Linked DNA regions of Danio rerio. The protein of the gene in region 2 purifies or fractionates together with the protein of the main gene of each other region. This does not show direct contact. Links are inferred from orthologs where the notes say so. Each region holds a gene or a part of one and is shown on either strand. Other genes may lie near its edges. The genes, in order: bccip and eif6.

The links.
Region 1: the proteins of eif6 (region 2) and bccip purify together in Homo sapiens (affinity purification with mass spectrometry; 3 studies listed by BioGRID and IntAct, counting the BioPlex papers as one, with this or other methods). This does not show direct contact. The link is inferred for Danio rerio from reciprocal best matches to the Homo sapiens genes EIF6 and BCCIP.

What each region holds. Positions count from the first base shown.
Region 1 is NC_133187.1:47,443,374-47,450,709, reverse strand, and holds the end of bccip (protein BCCIP homolog), read left to right. Parts: intron 1-651; coding exon 652-741; intron 742-1,049; coding exon 1,050-1,237; exon of another isoform or gene 1,238-1,486; intron 1,487-1,599; exon of another isoform or gene 1,600-2,586; coding exon 2,587-2,755; intron 2,756-6,020; coding exon 6,021-6,191; 3' UTR 6,192-6,310; downstream 6,311-7,336. UniProt on the Homo sapiens protein: During interphase, required for microtubule organizing and anchoring activities. During mitosis, required for the organization and stabilization of the spindle pole.
Region 2 is NC_133181.1:55,071,248-55,083,037, reverse strand, and holds the start of eif6 (eukaryotic translation initiation factor 6), read left to right. Parts: upstream 1-5,632; 5' UTR 5,633-6,056; intron 6,057-6,468; 5' UTR 6,469-6,497; coding exon 6,498-6,604; intron 6,605-7,287; coding exon 7,288-7,373; intron 7,374-8,189; coding exon 8,190-8,365; intron 8,366-11,790. UniProt on the Homo sapiens protein: Binds to the 60S ribosomal subunit and prevents its association with the 40S ribosomal subunit to form the 80S initiation complex in the cytoplasm. Behaves as a stimulatory translation initiation factor downstream insulin/growth factors.

The DNA.
Region 1 (7,336 bases), on a different chromosome or scaffold from region 2:
CCGGGTAACCTCGGATTGGGTCAGCCCATCTTGAAATCAGGCGGCCGTCATAATTGGTCCAAATGCTTAACATTTATTATTATTATAATTATTAACATCATCATCATAATATCACATCTAGCAAGAGATAAAAGCTGCCTCCACGTAAAAACAATACATTTAAATAAAAACTGAACGACCCACATTTAAAAATTGGTCCAGCCCTTCTGGCATTTGCCAGAATTGCCAGATGGCCAGTCCGCCCCTGGGCCTGACAGTGTTCAAAGTATTCAGGCAAAGAAAATTTAGCATTTGTAACATTTGATTATTGAAATTATGAACCTGAACACTCCCTGAAATCCCTAAAACAGTTTATTTCACTTTTATTTTTACTTTTAATTTATTTTTTGACATTTTTATGGATAATTCACTTCCCTACAGAATCATTTCACATATTCTAAACTAATAAATTATTTCTAAATAGCAGTTTTCAAAACCGCCCAATCTGGCAACACTGAATATTGATGTTGAGCAATATACCGTGCAGCTCTACTGTAAATGTTTAATATATTTAAAACTCATTTGTATAATATTCACTAACAGTAATAATGAACATCTGTAGTTCTGCTCTGATATTGCTGTATTATAGTTTATGTGTGTGTTTTGCTCCAGCAAGCTGAAGTACCGGAGGACAGTGATGATGAGGGCGACCCGGACGAGGTGTTTGGCTTCATCAGTATGGTGAACCTCACCGAGAGACAGGTCAGACAATCATAACACACACACACACACACACTCTACTTTCTGTAGGATTGATCTGAGTTACAACAATCCCACTGGAGTTTTTAGAATATCATATTTTGCATGAGTATTTCGCATTTCACAGTGTAGTGGCTGTTAAAGTCATGCAAAATGATATTCAAGCTAAAACAAAGTTAATATTAAGTTATTTGAACATATTAAAGCATGTGGAATATAAAAGGTCATGCAAATTCAGTTTTTTAATTGGTGAGTATCTTGGAAAATTTGACATTTGGCTTAAAGTGTGATTATTATTGTTTGTTTATCAGGGTGTGGAGTGTCTGGAGAAGCTGAAGGACATGATACTGGATCAGTGTGTGAAGTGCAGCACTCCGGATGTGCAGGAGCGGATGGAGAATCTCCTGCAGGGTAACACTCAGTCTGTAGGGCTCCTGCTGAGCGAGAGATTCGTCAACGTCCCGCCGCAGATCGCTCTGCCCCTGCACAAACAACTGCAGTAAGAGTTCCCAATAGAGGGAGCGCACACACCTGCTTCACTATTACCACATATCAGTGCAGATTTCATTTTAGTTTGATATATTTTATGATTTCAAAAGTGTATATATATATGTATATCTTCTTCTTTGGCCTTAGTCCCGTATGGTTGCGGGGTCGGCTCTTTGGAACAAGTCCATATGATAACGACTTTTTTTTTTTTTTTTACACATTCCGGCCGGCCTGTCACCCTCATACACTACGTAATATGGTATACCACAGGATCTAAAAATCGCAACGGTGTCAGTTTCAATACCTTTACGCCCCATTCACACGGAGCGTCAGTGTCAATGCTTCCTAATCACTTTGAATGGGTGACGTCAGGCGTTGCCGAATTGCATTGTGGATCTGTCGGCGCCACTTCCGAGGTGCTGCTCGCTGCAGAAGTTGGGACTAGCTCAACTTTTCAAGCGCCGACGAAAGCGTCAGCCAATCATATCGCTGTAATCAAATACACCAGCAAAACATTGACCTATTGCTGACTGAATTTCATTGGCTGACGCTGCTATGACGATCGCTTTAGCCCCAGCTTCACAAACGCCTTCAGCCAAGCGTTGACCCTGAAGCCCCGTGTGAATAGGGTGTTATACCGTCATAAAAAAAAACAAAAAACAATGCACTTAAATAGGAGACAAGTATCAAATATTACAATTATTTATTTAATGCCTACAAATGCATATGCATGATTGTCATCACTAGACAATGTGGAGGAGAGAGAGAGGGGAGGTGGCGAGTCGTGTATGTGAGAGCGCAGTGCTGTGCGTTCCCCTCTCTCTCTCTCTGCGTGTGTGTGAGAATGGGATAGAGCATCCTGCGCAGATCTCTAATACGAACAAGACAAACAGGTGACCGCAAACCTAAGGTTGCATATTTGGTATTCAGTTTCTGAATGGTTTAGGCAGAAACCAACAGTCTGATTATGTTGTTTGAGCCTTACGTCATAATTTTTTAAATTATGCACGATAATACCGGATACTGGGGTAAAATAGAGAGCAGGTTTAACGGTATTAAAATTTGGATACCACCCAAGTATATGTAAATGATATGTGTGTCTAATATGTAAATGAATTTTCATGGGATGACCATTACCTGAATACCCAAGCTTTAAAAAAAAAAAATAAGTATGAAATAAGTGAAATATTTTGATGTACATTTGTCATAGTTAGGGTTAGGGGTCACTTTAATCATAAAGTGAACAGCACATTCACTATTTTTTTTCATTTAATTCAGTGTCATTAATTTAATAAAGAAATTATTTTAAGTATATTGTCATAATAATCATCATCATCTGTCTTCTGTGTGGTTCTGCAGGAAGGAAATGGCTGAAGCTCAAAGGACCAATAAACCCAGCGGTAAATGCCAGTTCTGTCTGATGATCAGCAAAACATGCAAGCCATTGAAGAAGAAGAGCATTTCTGCAGGAGACCAGGCTAAAGACGAGCTGCTGTTCGTGAATGACGAGGAGGAGTTCTTTTATGAGGTACATTTTACTAATGTCTGAAGTCAAACCAAACTGAAATTTCTGTCATCCTTTACTCACCCTTCACTTGTTCCAAACCTGTTTTACTTTCTTTACACAAAAGCTGTAACCACTGACTTCCACCGTGATTGTATTTCCATGGAAATCAATGGTTACAGGTTTTCATTTTTCTTTTCTTTTTTTTAAAACAAAAACTGAATAAAGAAACGAATAGTTTTTTTGGTTTAAACTTATTTATATTTAATATGCATATGTCAGTTTTTAAGTCTGAAAAGTGGCTTGAAAGGTTAAGTGGTTAAAGGGTTAGTTCACTCAAAAATGAAAATTATTCAATGTTTAAACCCTTGAGCAGTGGTGCTTAAGCTTGCTCCTGGAGATCTACCTTCCTACTGAGTTCAGCTCCAACTCTGACCAAACACACCTGAACCAATTAATTGACCTGTACAGCACTTGATAATTACAGGCAGGTGTGTTTGATATGGGTTGCAACTGAAATCTGCAGGACAGTAAGGCTGCTTCTGAAACCTCTTCCTCCTCCTCCTCAGTAGGTACTGCATTTGAATTTAAATGTACTACTCGGCCATTAATAAATTGTGTTATATACTGTATTATTGTGAAAAGTATGAATGGAATTCGGATGTACTACATCCGCCTTTTTATCATGGTCACGTGACCTACCTGCGTCAGTTGCGTCGCTTCACTCCCATTCATGAATTCTCTCGCAGGGCATCATGTGATAGCGCGGCGTGCATGGGATGTTCACTTCAGAATCTCGCCGGAAGTAGTAGGTCATCCGGGTCTTTCTTGCATACTAATTTTCGGATTCTTTGCATTCGGACATACCACTCGGCTCGCATACTGATTTTAGCGTATTGTATAGTATGGAAGTATGCGGTTTCGGACACCGCCTAGATCTCCAGGAACAGGGTAAAACAGCAGTCACACTCTAGTTTGAGCTTGCGAAATTCTGTTGTACGGCAATGCGGAAAGGGGCGGGATTAAACAAAATAATTAGAAATTTAAAAAAGTGAGCGATTGGTCCACGTTTTAAATTTCTGTCCAGAGAGATCATGTTTTGATCCTCGATTGGTTTCACGCAGTCAAGTGATCAGCCGATGACACAAAAAGAAAGAAGACGAGATGTATATATTAGGGATGCATGATATGTCACCATAGCGTTATCGGCAAATAAATGCTAGTTTTAAGATTATTGTTATTAAGCTGATATCTAAATTAGGCCGATATCTTTAAACCGATAAATTACGTAATTGTACAGACCTGGCTGCCGCGCACGCGTAGGCGGAACATGTTCAGACTTGCCCAGTGCACTCTAATGGATCTCTCCTCACACTGTTTATTCCTTTAAAGCCCGTCCTTTCTTTATGTGGCATTGCTGAGTGTTAATAACCCAGTAAGTAACCATGTTCCTCATCATTGTAGATGTGTTTGATTGAGTGTCATTGTGTATTTTGCTTTAAATCGCCTCAGGAAAAGATATTACATATGTAAGCCTTTCCTGCTCTGTGTCTTTGTTGTGTTAGAGATATTAGGGGAGATTCACTTATTACTCCAGGGTAACTTAACTCCCTTCTCCTTTAGTTGCAGCCGGTGAATGAACGAGGACACATGTAACTTGTGCCAATCATCACTGAAAACAGTCTCATTGCGAAAAAAAAAAAAAAACGCTCGTTTCTGTCTCCCTCTTCGCTTCAACAACACACACACACACACACACACACACACACACCAAACCCCTGCGCACGTGCTAACCAACAACTTGTCGGGCTGTTTGTAACCTAATATGATTATTTGTTATTATCAATGCAATGCTTGCCATGTGTTGTGGATGTAAGACTGTATTCAGTTTGATCAGATTATTAATACTGATTGTAACGAGCGTGCGTGAGAGTTGTCACCGCACACACACACACACACACACATCTGACAGCCTTCAAAACAGCAGCACGGGGGAGAGCCTAGGTGCGACGTCATTGAATTCAGCATAAACTCGCCACACATTCTCTTTATATTACGCTCTGTTTGTCAAAGTCATCAGAGCTTAATAATCAGGGGCCTCATGTACGAAGACTTGCGTTGAATTCATACTAAAACATTGCGTACGCACAAAGCTGTAAATGTGTGTACGCAGTGAAAAATTCAGATGTATGAAACACTGCGTACGCGGAATCCCACACATATTCTCTTTATACATTTGACTTAACGTGAAACTGAGCACAACATGCATGAGTGCAAAACCCCTCCCTGCCTCTTCCCCTGTATGAATATGGTAATAACTCTACCTTGGCAAAACCCAACGAAAAAGCAATGGTAAAAGCAAGCAATTTACAAAAAATACAAAATTTGCAAATTCATCTTCAAGTGGTGCCTTTATAGCACCGTGCATGCAGTCGATCGCTCCGATTACATTGAAAAAACCAGCGATCGCTGCAAGTTGCACTTTAATGTTTGACTTGTCGACAGCATGGTATGGAAACCTTATATACGTGCTAGACATGCGGATGATCCTGTCCCATACAGCTGGCATTGCGCGGCGCAAAGGAATTTTGTAGTGTGCAATTTAACATAATTGCCTCTAGGAGTCGCCAATTGAAATAAAACGTACGCCAGACATGAAGTCGGCATGGACCAACGCACATACTCGCATTCATTTCATGGTTAGTAAATCCAAATGTGAACGTGAAACCTGGCGTATGCAAAGTTTTTGTATCATACACAAATTGTACTAAAGTGATCTAAAAAGTTCATATCAATAAGTTTTCTCTTTGCACTTTCATTTTGGGGGTGCAGATTGCATAAGTTTTATTAATATATTATTTATTTTATTAATAACTATAACTTTATATAGGTTTAAAAAATTTAGTATTTTCCCAAGTGTAAATAACTTCTACTGTAAGAAAATATCAGAATTCGGTACATTCTGTATTATCTTTGCTTGAACTGAGCCGATTATATGAATTAAACCTGCTTCCGACCAGGATTGAGCCAGCAGAACTGTTGCTATGACAACAACTCAGATCAGTTTTGATGAATGAAACGATCCTGGATCGTGTCAAATCGTCAATATCCAAATCCAGCTAACCGAGGAATCCACCTACGAAGAACGAACCCCAGGTTTCCCCTTATGTTTTGTTGTGCTTGAATGTTAAAGTGGCCCTTCTAAAAATTTTCAGTCAGTGGAATGGCCCCCTGCCAATTTGAGTTTGAGACCCCTCATCTAAACATTTCTTCTTTTTCTTCCCCACAGCAAGCAACGGTGAAGTTCAGCTACTGTGTTCAGGATGAGGCGGACTCGTGTGCGACAGGGAAATGGTCGTACGATGACGAGCCAATGAAGCCGTTTCGCACAGTGATGGTGATCCCCATGGACAGAATGGACACCATCATGCAGAAAATGACTGATTATCTGACCGTCTGAACACACTTTAACCTTCCAGGCCAGTTTGACCACAAATCACCCAAACCAGTGAAATAATTTATTCATTCTGTACATAATCAGCCCACAAAAATAATAATAAACAACCCAAACAGATTGACGATGAGTGTCTCTTCAATTGAAAATATTTACATGATTGTTTCTCCGCTGAGTTTACTGTAAAACACATCGCTCCTGTGCTTCGCTCTCCTGCGTCTCTGTCTTTGGTTCTGGTCGAGTTTTTGCTTTAGGGATACCGGTTCTGTCACGGTCCAGAATATTCTGCAGGATCTCTTTACTTTCACTAGGAGGAAGATTGCAGAAGAAATACTGCGGCGCCATCTGAACAAACCTGCAAAAATATGAGAACACCACTGAGCTTTTCTCAGAATTTCAAGTGCACACACATTTATCTGACATGAATGCATGATCAATAAAGAGACGACATTTTTATATTTTCTCTTTTTAGCCTGGGTGAAAATCAAAAAAGCTCCTGAAAATTATTACGAAGTATTTTTGGTTATTTTTAATTTATCCATGCAACATGAAAATGGGTTTGTGCGTCACAGTTACACTGAAGTGCCCACAATATAATTAAATGTAATGTGATAGATGCTCAGGCCAGTGCTGCCCTGTTCACAAAAGTTCGTCTGCGACTGTGGTAGTTGCGTACAAATACAATCTTATGGCCCCTTACAGTCTCCGATATGTTACCAACTACAGAAAAACTACAAACATCAGACATCTCGTTCTTAATTAGGTTCAAAACAACACAAAGTATAACCTACAGTCAGCGAAAACCTCTCATCTGTGTCTGTAATCTTCAGCAGCACATGAAGCCTCTGATAGAGAGTCATTCCATCATTCCCAGTTCATATTAGTCCAAAAGGTGATGATAATAATTAAAACAAGGCAGTTTGATCACGTTTGCTGAAGAAATAACATGCTGCTTTTTTCCCGCGCTCCACTCTCGCATTTGTCCTTTTCTTTCTGAATGTGTCATTCTCTCGTTTGTCAGCTTCTCACAGGATCGGGTTTCCAAAGCTTGTCAATAATCAAGCGCACATTATTATTATTATTATTATCAGCTCAAGAAGTTTCTTATTTCAGATATAATGTTAGACGCGTGGCAAGCGCAAGGAAGAAAA
Region 2 (11,790 bases):
GCTGAGGCTCGAACCAGCGACCCAGTGATCTTCTTGCTGTGAGGTGACAGCACTACCTTCTGCGCCACTGCTTCACCCCAAACGGTTGTTCATTTTGCTAAAAATATTCAACTCAAAACCGATGCTTGTTAACTAATCATTAACCATTAACCTTTTAAAAATATATATTGTTCAGTTAGATTTAACATAAAAAGTATGTCCATAAAAATTGCGTATATAAAATTAATAAACCACCTATACAAAAGCTATATTTCACTTAAATAATTAATACATTAACTGAACTGAATATGAAACACTGTGATATAAAACTGATATGAATATAAAAATGAACAATCATTAACCCTTGACGAGTCCACCACACTGGTGGTCAGAAAAATGCACACTGTGCTTGTCATAAACTACAAATGATCAGTGTTTTCAATTACAAGACACTTACTTCAGGGTTTAACTGGCGAAGTACACTTTAGTAGTAGCAGAACAACACTTTACAGTTCATAAAATACACCACGGTTATATGTGAAAATGGCAGTAATCATATTAAACCTAATCTGACAGCGTTTTTACTCACAACATACAATATCCATGTTGCAGTGTTTCCTCTAGGATTTTTTCAGCTGTGGCGGCAGGCCTTACACAGATCTACCAACTACCTTATAGCTTTATTTCAATGACAAATGTTGTGAGCTCAGTATTACCAGTTGAGATCGCTTTCATGTAATGCGAGAATGCGAATCTCTTGGCTTGCGCGCTGATTTCTTCTGCTCATGCACAAAACGTCTTGCACACCCCCTCAAATATACGCTGCTCAAGCGCAGATCTTCTTGTGCGCTCTCAAATAAACGCTGCTGAAGTGTGATTTAGTGCATTTATGTAACAAGTATGTCTCCAACATTTATTAGATTTGGTGGGAATATTTATAAATGTCTCCAATAGACCTACAGAGTGGCATTAATGCATCCTATAGTAAAGTGAAACGGCAATAAACTCCAGCAAGATAAAGTCATTGTATGCAGAGTCACAGACCTATATCTATAAATAAAGTATAATTATGGAAACTGTGTTCATCTTAACTGAAAACTACGTCGTGTTTGCTTGCATCACGCACCTGTCAGTCAGCAGCACCTCATGTCACCTTAAAGGGTTAAAAATGACGCACCGAACTACTACGATTACAGAAAAGTTTGCGCAGTTATAATTCCTTACCTTTAAATACGTTTTGGTGCGATTATAACTTGCTATTAAAAAAACAACAACAATGACTGAATGTTTTGAATGAGATGCAGTAATGTAGCCATGGCGGGATAAATTTTGTGTGTATGCAAAAACCATGTATTGTGTGCAAAATTTGTGCTGTCCGTAATTGTACTTTTGTGCATACAGGTCAATTGAAGACCATAATCTGTTCACCCTGTAAATCTGATATTGGCCACATTTATAACAACAGTGTGAACAGCTATGCAAAAAAAATCTGATGTGAGAAAAAGACAGATTTGAGCACTAAGCCTTGCAGTGTGAATGTAGCCTAAGGCTTTATCTATTAGCCAATTTCCACTGAGTGTTACGTTATTACGATTTGGTATGATTTTATGGCCATTTCTACTGTCAAAAGGTACCAAAAAGCGAACCGTACCATATCACTTTTTGGGTGCTTTTTCCAAAGGGTACCTAGCACAACAAAAGTGTACCAAATGATAGAGCAAGACGTGCAGCTGAATGCTATTGGTTTACACAGAAATGTCACAAGCATGCAACAAGCCAGGAAAATGAAAACAAAGGAAGCAACATTTTTAAATACACAGCCGAGACATTACACCGTACTAATATATACATATGATAATCAGTGGCGTAGAGCAAAATGCAATTGAAATGTTTTTCTTACAAAAACAAATTGATCTGCTTCATAAAACATGTATTAACCCAATAACAACATATGGGATAGTTTTACAATGGATTTATGCACCTTTGAAAGCTATCCAACACCATTATACAGCATGGAAGAGCCAGGATAACATTTACAACTACTCTGACACAGTTTGTCTGACAGAAGAAAGTCATATACACTGTGGAAAAAAGAAAAAACAATTTACTCATAGACTTTGTAAGACTTGTCGTAGCATTTATATACAACAACTGTCTGATGATTTTTTGCTAAATTTATAAATGTAGAGGATGGCTTGAGAGTGAGTAAATTATGGCAAAACTATTGCTTTAAATGCATAAACAACACCAAACCCATTTAAGCAGCATTGAAACTGCAACATCTCCACTTCGCCAGCGTCCCGCACTAAATTTGGCACTCACTCGAAGGGAAATTGTCCAAATGTCTTTTCTCTTCTGCAACATCTTCAGTACCAGTTAGTGCAGGATATCATGAAGCGCATGTCGTCTACCTTTCTGGTGCCCATTTGGCATTGGGGCAGGTCAGGGTGAGGATCCAGTCGGTCCTGGGGATCAGTAGTACCGGGTTCAGTTTGGACACTGGATGAAGATACTTCACCTTGGCTTGGCAGATTTCCTGTATCCCTCTGTCTCTGGTCAAGAGCAGCCATATTGGTGCTATGATTCGAGGCCATTTCTTAAATAAAACACAACAGATTAAATTTAGCTTAAAAAATTAGATACCACTTTAAAATGCTTAATTTTACCAGATTTACTTGTTATAGCTTTGCCTTTGAGTAAAATGTTTGTTTTATTATGTCTGGCAAGATTTTCTCCAATTTTCTAATAATTATATTGTAATTTAGAACAAAAAATAATTGAGCAAAATAGATTTTCTTTTCTTCTGATTGACTTCTATTGACTTCTTAACTTTCCGAAGTTAAACAATTAGTAATGTGTTGCTCAAAAATGAATAACAGGTCTAAAATATACAGTCCTTTTTGTTATTTTGACCAGCTTTAAGTATTTATTTTACACTTTTTATTTACATTTTTATAATTAGCTATGCATTTTAATTCAATAATTAAATAACAATTTATTTGAATTAATGACAATTTAACCTTGGTGTATTATCTAAAAATACCAAACCCCCAAACCAAAACCAAAAAGTACATTTTCCCATAAGGATAAAAGTTTTGAACAGTGAATAGAATACTATCGTTAATACATTGTTGAGCCTCACACCATAATGTAGTGGTGTATGTACAATACTAAAATAAATGTAAAGCAGCCTCCTTGTATTTATTGCAAAAAGTAAACTTTATCAACACCATCTTTTTTTTTTTTTGTTAAAAAATATTTGCTGGATAAAATCTGTGGATATTTATTTCGTTTACTGAGGTAAACTCGGTTTTATATTCGCATATTAAGACTTTGGTGTTTAATAAAATAGTGATGCAGAATGTTAAAAGACTTCAAAACAACATTACTCTATTTAATTAATTGTGAACAATGTTGTACTTTGACACTCAATGGCTGCTAATATTATTTCCCCCTTTAGTATAACGTAACTTTTCTGAAATTATATTAAAGTAAATGTCCAAATATGTAATATGAAACCAACTTTACCTGAACCTTTAATTGAATTTCTAATATGATAACGTTATATCTGTGGTAACAGCCACACTTTCCTCCAGCAGACAGCTATGCATTGAGGACGGAACAAAACCTACAGAAGCAGCAGCACTTAGAGAGCGTTTGTCAGCGTGACTGGGACAAAAACAGATCAATATTGTGTGTTAACGAGCCGAGACACGTCAGGACTTTACCGCACACCGGCTCCAGCCCCCGGAATCCAGCGTTTCACCGATTAGTTCGCGATGTTTCCAGGCAGAAAACGCAGGGTGGACGGCGAGGGTCACGGGCGCGCGCTGCTGCAGTGACGTTTTAGCTAACGCTCTGGAAGTGTCAACAAACGTGACGTCACGCCGAACTTCAATGCCGATTGGCTGAGAAATCCACATTGACAGGAGAGGCGTGTTTTGTTGCTATGCAGGTTTGTGGTTGGGGACAAAAACACGAGTTGTTGCTAGAAGGGATACAGCTGCAGCCGAAAATTAACGACAATTATTTACATAATTAATTAAATTATCCATTAATCGTGTTTTATTAACGTCTACCCCGACCCTCACAGTAATGTAAAACAGTAATTATAACGAGTAATATTTATATTATTTATTAAATTATCCATTAAATTGTGTTTTATTAACGTGTACCCTAAACCCAACCCTCACAGCAATGTCAAAATATTGGTTATTGTCGACAAAAATTATTGTATGCTATATTATATGCTATATTGAGGTGAGTATCCACAGCTGTATACCTTCTAGACTTTGCCCGGTGACAGGGCTGGCCAGTCTGAGTCAGCGTCTGTCTATAAATATATAAATGTGCTAATTTAAATAATAATAATAATAATAATTATTATAATATGTGTTTTTGTTTAATTACTTAATTTTAAAAAGTATTATGCTGTGGAATAGAATATTGTACAGCAAAAGTGACTAAAGGGATTAAGTATTTGTAGGGATTGTAAATATATGTTTTATTCTTTATTTTTGTTTGTTTATGTAGGGTAATTATTATAATTGTATATTTTTTCATCTTAGGTTACACTGTAATTAAAGTTATTGTAAAGCACTATCATTTTAAAAATGCATGTAATTAATAATAATTACTCTAATCGGGTTTATTCATTTCTTTATGTTATTTTTGTTTGCTGCGTAAATTAATAATTTAATATATTGTATTATTAATTATTATTATTTAGTTATAATAAAATTCAAAAACATTTTTAACAAAGATTAGAATATTAAATCATTTAAGATATTTTGGTATTAATTATTAAGTAAAAGGTTTGAGTAACGTTAATATTTATATATTTATCATATATTAACGAGGAACTCTGTCTTTAACATTTAAAACCCAAAACATTATTCTGACGTAATACTTATTTAGTTTTATTAGTTACTATTTATTTATTTTTTTGTTTGCAGATTAATTTAATAATGTGTTGTGTTGAAATATACTATCAGATCATACAATTTTATAATGGTATACTAATATTTTATTTATTCATTCATTTTCCTTCGGTTTAGTCTCTTTAGTCATCAGGGGTCGCCACAGTGGAATGAACCGCCAACTCATCCAGCATATGTTTTACACAGCGGATGCCCTTCCAAATGCATCCCCGGTCTGGGAAACACCTATACACATTCATTCACATTTCACACTCGTACATTATGACCAATTTACGTTAGTTAAAACTTTAAAGTTATTCAATTCACCTGTAACGCATGTCTTTAGACTGTGGGAGAAACGGGAACATCTGGAGGAAACCCACGCCAACACGGCGAGAAAATGCAAACTTCACACAGAAATGCCAACTGACCCAGCAGGGACTCGAACCAGCGACCTTCTTGCTGTGAGGCGACAGTGCTAACCACTGAGCCACCGTATCGCCCAGCAACATTGCTATTATAATAAAAAAACACGTTTGATGGTTTATTATATTTTATAATTATTACAAATAAAAAAAATTATAATACGGATACAAACATTTATTATTTAAAGATCAAGGCTCTAACGTGATACTTGAGAATCAAAACAAAGAAAGTAGTGTTTCCCGTGACAACAGGGGCTCACGTATGACGTACCACAACGCTTTGACGTTGCCACGTTGAGGAAGTGAGGTAAACTAAACACGTGGTAAACGGCTCGTCCACGCTTCTCCATAGTGACATTCGGTAAATATACAATTACTCTTACAATTAAGTTTAATTTTATTGTGTAATGACGTTTAGCTCATAATTTGTATTATTACCCGCGTCGTCATTCGAGGGTAGAGAATTGTTGGCGTTTAATGTCTAGAGAAGTTGAAGTAACTTCATTTAGCCGACTGCTAACCACCTCGACCAGTGGCTATTCAGTGAAAGTTACTTAAAACGCGTTAAACTCTGAAGTTTTGCTGAAAATTAGGTTAGTCTTGCTTCTCTAGACACGACATATTTTAAAATGTTGTCAAACGTTTGACTCAGTTACATAAAAATGTTCCTCTCACTCAATTTATAACGTTACCCGATAAGATGTTAGTGAAGTTTACCCTCTGTTGACTTGAGGTGAGGTTGGTTTTATATTCGCGCATTCATTAAGTGACAACCTTTGACACGCTTATTATATTGTTGACCGTGGTAGTTTGAATATTTAGTCTGAAACAACATGTAAATATGTCTTTAAAACAACATTAGCACTATTTAATTGACGGTGAACAGTGGTGTACTTTGATAATTATTGGCTGCTAATGTGATTTAACTATTTAAAATTAGCAAAGAATACTTAACTGAAATTATATAATCAAGGAGAACGTCCGAATATGTGAACATAAAAAAACAACCTAACCTTAATCTCTGTTGAGCCTAAACAAACTTTCACTTTTCATCAAATAACCGTTATTATTAGTTGTAATAAAGTGTTTCTGTGTTCAAAGTTTTTTTTTAACTATATAGCCCTAAAATATTGTTTTTCCACCAGATTCAGACAGCTTCCTCCAGATCAGCAGAATGGCAGTTCGTGCATCATTTGAAAAGAATAATGAAATTGGATGCTTTGCCAAGCTTACTAACACATACTGTTTGGTAGCAATTGGTGGTTCAGAAAATTTTTACAGGTAAATCTTAAATTGTATTTCTATAAAAAATCTATCTATCTATCTATCTATCTATCTATCTATCTATCTATCTATCTATCTATCTATCTATCTATCTATCTATACAGTTGAAGTCAAAATTATTAGTGCCCCTCTGTTTATTTTTCACACCAATGTCTGTATAACAGAGAGGTTTTTGCAACACATTTCTAATCATAATAGTTTTAATAACTCATTTCTAATAACTGTTTTTATTCTATCTTTGCCATGATAACAGTACATAATATTTGACTAGATATATTTCAAGACACTTCTATACAGCTTAAAGTGACATTTAAAGGCTTAACTAGGTTAATTAAGTTAACTAGGCAGTTTAGGGTAATTAGGCAAGTTATTGTATAACGATGGTTTGTTTTGTAGACTTATGAAAAAAAACAAATGCTTAAAGGGGCTCATAATTTTGACCCTAAAATGTTTTTTAAAAAAATTAAAAGCTGCTTTATTCTAGCTGAAATAAAACAAATAAGACTTTCTCCAGAAGAAAAAATATTATCAGACACACTAACAAATTCCTTGCTCTGTTAAACAATTTGGGAAATTTAAAAAAAGAAAACAAAATTCAAAGGGGGGCGAATAATTCTCAACTGTATATACTGTAGTGATTGAATAATATTGTGATTGTGATTATACCTGTTTGCTTTTAGTGTTTTTGAAGGTGAACTGTCAGAAACGATGCCCGTCATTCATGCCTCTATAGCAGGATGTCGAATCATTGGGAGAATGTGTGTGGGTAAGAACATTTATTTAATCCAGTTTCATTCATTCATTCATTTTCCTTCGGCTTAGTCCCTTTATTCATCACCTAATTTATCAATAAGATGTAATAAAATTTTCCCCTATAATAGTTCTCACCATTCATTCAATCAGTCAAATGTATATGCATATTAGCCATTATTTTATTTGTTAATTTTATTATTCAAGATACAGATCTGAAAAAGCTACTTCTTTCTATTAAAGGGCTGACCTCCCCATACGTTATGTTTTGACTTCCTTCAATGGGGATCAAGTGTTAATTAGGGAGGGGGGTCAACAAAAAAAATCTGCGTATTTATGCGGAGTGATTTTGGGAGTATCATAATTAAAAACTTAATATATGAAAGAGAAATAATACTTTTTAAAAACTTATTTAATGTTTACAGTGCATATTCAAATAGATCTACTTATTTAGTAAACAAAGCAAGTCTCTCATAATATATCCACTAAAAGACAGAACGTATGATTTTACTTACTGTATTGTAAATAAGTCATATGAACATTTTCATATTTATCAATAATATTACTTATAAGTAAATCTAAATGTACACACATTTACACAAGTAAACAAATAGACTCAATGATTAGCTGGAAATCTGTGGGCCTACATATCAGTATATTGTATTTCAGAAACAACCCTATTGCATTTCTTTGAATATGGTTATGATAACAAGAAATCAGTAGTTAATGATGAAACTTTACTGTTTCTATATCTACCTTGGTCACATTAGGTCTTGTTACCTCTTGTTTGATCAATAATAGATGTCGTGTGGTCTATGACGCTCTTCTGCAGGAAACCGTCACGGTCTCTTGGTGCCCAACAACACGACAGATCAGGAGTTACAGCACATCAGAAACTGCCTGCCAGACTCCGTGCGCATCCAGAGAGTAGAGGAGCGTCTTTCTGCACTGGGAAACGTCATCGCTTGTAACGACTATGTTGCTCTCGTTCATCCAGACCTTGACAGAGTAAGAACATCTTCAAACTTTAAAAGGATAGTTCAGCCAGGAATGAAAATTGATCACTATTTACTCTCCCTCAAGTGACTATAAAAATGTATTTCTTATGTCGAACACAAAGGAAGATATTTTGAAGAATGTTGAAAGCCTGTAGCCATTGACTTACATAGTAGGAAAAAATGAATACTATGGAAGTCGATAGTTGCAGGCAGTGCCGGCCCATAGGGTTCAGGGTCACCAGGCGAGATAAAAAAAACAAAAAACAATTTCAATATTTAAGTGTATAGATTTTTATTACTGTAACATTTAACCTATAATACATAAGCAAAAATATTTGCTCAGATTTAAATAAATAAGTTTGTAAGCCTGAAAACACTCATTTATTAGCATTGAGTATATAAGTATGACACATACAAATAAAACATGAATCAAATGCATTTTTTGTAAATGTATTACACAAATATATGCATAAATAACTCGAAATGCTGGAGATGTTTTAGCTTTTCATACAGAGATTTACACAAACAAAACTTTGTATTAGAGACTGGATAAGATTCGATTTTGACAAAATTACGGGAAACCCTGTTTTTTTCAGCAGGCTGAATTAGTGGGACAGATAATTAACTGATTATTTAATAAAACATGCTGAATGTGGCCGATTGGTTGCATTTGTAAAACACGTCCTAATACTGCACTACTAAATTATGTAGTGTGTATAGCAGAACACACAGTTGAATTCAGAATTATTCCACCCCTTTGATTTGTTTATTTTTTTAACATTTCCTAAATTATGTTTAACAGAGCAGGGAAATTTTTACAGTATTTCTTCCCATGATTTTTTCCCCTTTCTTCTGTTTAGACGCCATTTTATTTCAAATGAAAATTTGATTAAGACTTATTAAAAATAGCAACAACACTTGTGACAGTATATTACGTAAGACTTTAAGACACTTTTCAGCTTTATATTGATCGTGAGCAATTTGGAGAGATATGTGGAATCTGTGAAGGAATACGTTACGTCATTCTAGTCCATCCAATAGCTGATCCCAGGCGGTGTTATATAGTGTGGTGCTGCTTGATATTTTTCTAATATTTTCTGCTTATATTATTACTGTTGTTGTGTATTTACAATCATTTTCATTTATTTGTCATGTATGAATTATACAGAGCTATTCTTTTAATGAAATGTGGAGGTTATTTTTTTCCTCACAGTGAATTGTATCGTGTTTAATGGGGTTTGTGCAATGCGCATTATTAATGAATTTTTAAATGCTCATTCTTGCGCTTACGTTCACAGTAAATATAACATAAAAGCAGCACTTGTGGTGCCCTCCAAAAATCGGGGGCCCTAGGCTATACTACACCTATATTGCCTGTTGGATGCCTACTGGTTTAAAAAGACCAAGATTAAATGAAGATGGACAAATGAGAACTATTCTGCCATAAACTATAGTAAAACAACTTGTCAAAAAGAATAAAAAAATAAATAAACCCTGCGAAGAGACATAAAAAAAACTTCTTTTATTATCAGCTGTCAGTCAGCGCCCGCACTGAATTGACCATCAAGATCTGCAGTGTAAATGCAGCTGTAGTCATTGAAAGTCAGGAAAAAAAACAAGAAATTTGTAATTTGGCCTATTTCATATTTTGATTAAACAAGGAAAAAGTTACTTAACTAATTTAACTTAACTAATTAATCAAACTTTTTTGCAATTAAACGCAATAAATCACATTTAAAAGACTGAAACTTGTAATTTTGGCTATTCAAATGTAAAATTAATGTAAACACAAGATAAAAAACGACTTAAATTCAAAATATAATTGTTTATTATAATTTTTGTTTAACTTGTAACCCACATTTCTTCATGTAAACAACAAACTGTTGTAAAAAAATAAATGAATGAGTGAAAAAAGAGAAGAGAACCCAGTCCAGGAGACTCGAAACAAGCAGAATTCCTTTATTGAGACGTGTTGGTTAATCTGCAGTCATACAGCGTCTTTAAGATGTCCGTGTCTGCAAGAGCCTACTAGAGGACCGCAGTCTGCAAGTTCTTTCACAAGTCTGTAAAATAGTCTGAATTAAGACAAAGATTTCATGGCTATATTGTGTTCTTAGGAGGAGGGGATATAGCTAAACAAAGTATGCAAATTAAGAGTTGTGGTCGGCAGGGTAAACTGCTTTTTCAGACCTAATCTCATCTTGTTCTGGAGACAGAAACCGCCTGACCATTTGATCGAAAAGAGAAAACAATAGACACCCCATGCTGTGAAACTGACAATTTGCATTACATTGGCTTAGCCTGTAATCAGAAAGACAAAAGGTTAATGTCCTTAACTGGAATGTTAATGAAATTATATAATTAAAAACCAGAGAATATAACTTTTTAGTTATACGTAGATTATTGTTAATTTGAAATTAGATGATATAAATTTATATTTCCACAAAACCCACAATAAAACATCAAGATCCTGGCTTGACAGCCATATTTATTACAGAAATTAAAACACAGGCATGTTAATGCCATTTGAAATTCAAAACAATCAACACCAATAAAGAAAACCTTGATTTCCATGTTGGATTCTAAGTGGACTATAAAAAAATGCCAAAATACAGGCATTGCAGATATGGAAAATTAAAATAATGATAAAGTATTTAATACAAACAAACAATTGTACTCGTTGAAAAGTTGTATTGCTGATAGTTGAGAACACACACACACACACACACACACACACACACACACACACACATAAACAACACGCGTAGGACAGCACAACCGGATCGACTCTCTTCAGATTCAACATGCATGATCGCATTCATCAAATTTGCTTAAACTAAGCATTCTTAAGTTTGGCTGTATTTTACAAGAATTCTGACACAACAACGTGAAGCAGACGCTTTACAAAGGTTGCGTTTAAGGGGGAAACACGACAGAATGGGCCATCTTTGACAGCTCGCGACATCATCTGAGTTTCACAGAGTACATTTACATGGACACCAAGACTCTGATTTTAATATGATCAAGATAATACTCTTATTAAGAGTCCACCATGTAAACAGCAACTTTTGGTTCCCTTAAAGGACCACAGAGTCACGAAGTGCGGAGGTTTTTCTTTCAGTTCGGCATATGGTATCAAATTCCATTGAAACAAAAGTTGAAAGATTAACAATGAAACATACAAAATTAGATGAAACTCTAGAGGAAACGCTGGATAGCCTGGTGATGCGACATTAATTGTTTTAAACTTTACTTCGAGAAGTGCTTCCTTGGTCTTATCTATATTTCTTTGCATGTTGAACACACGTCCACCACAACAGAAAAAAAACTGAAACTGCGTTAATTGTGTAAAAAATGTTTTAATGTGTTAATTATTTCAAATTAATTACATGCGTTAACGCACTAATATTGACAGCACTGGTTTATATAAATGAT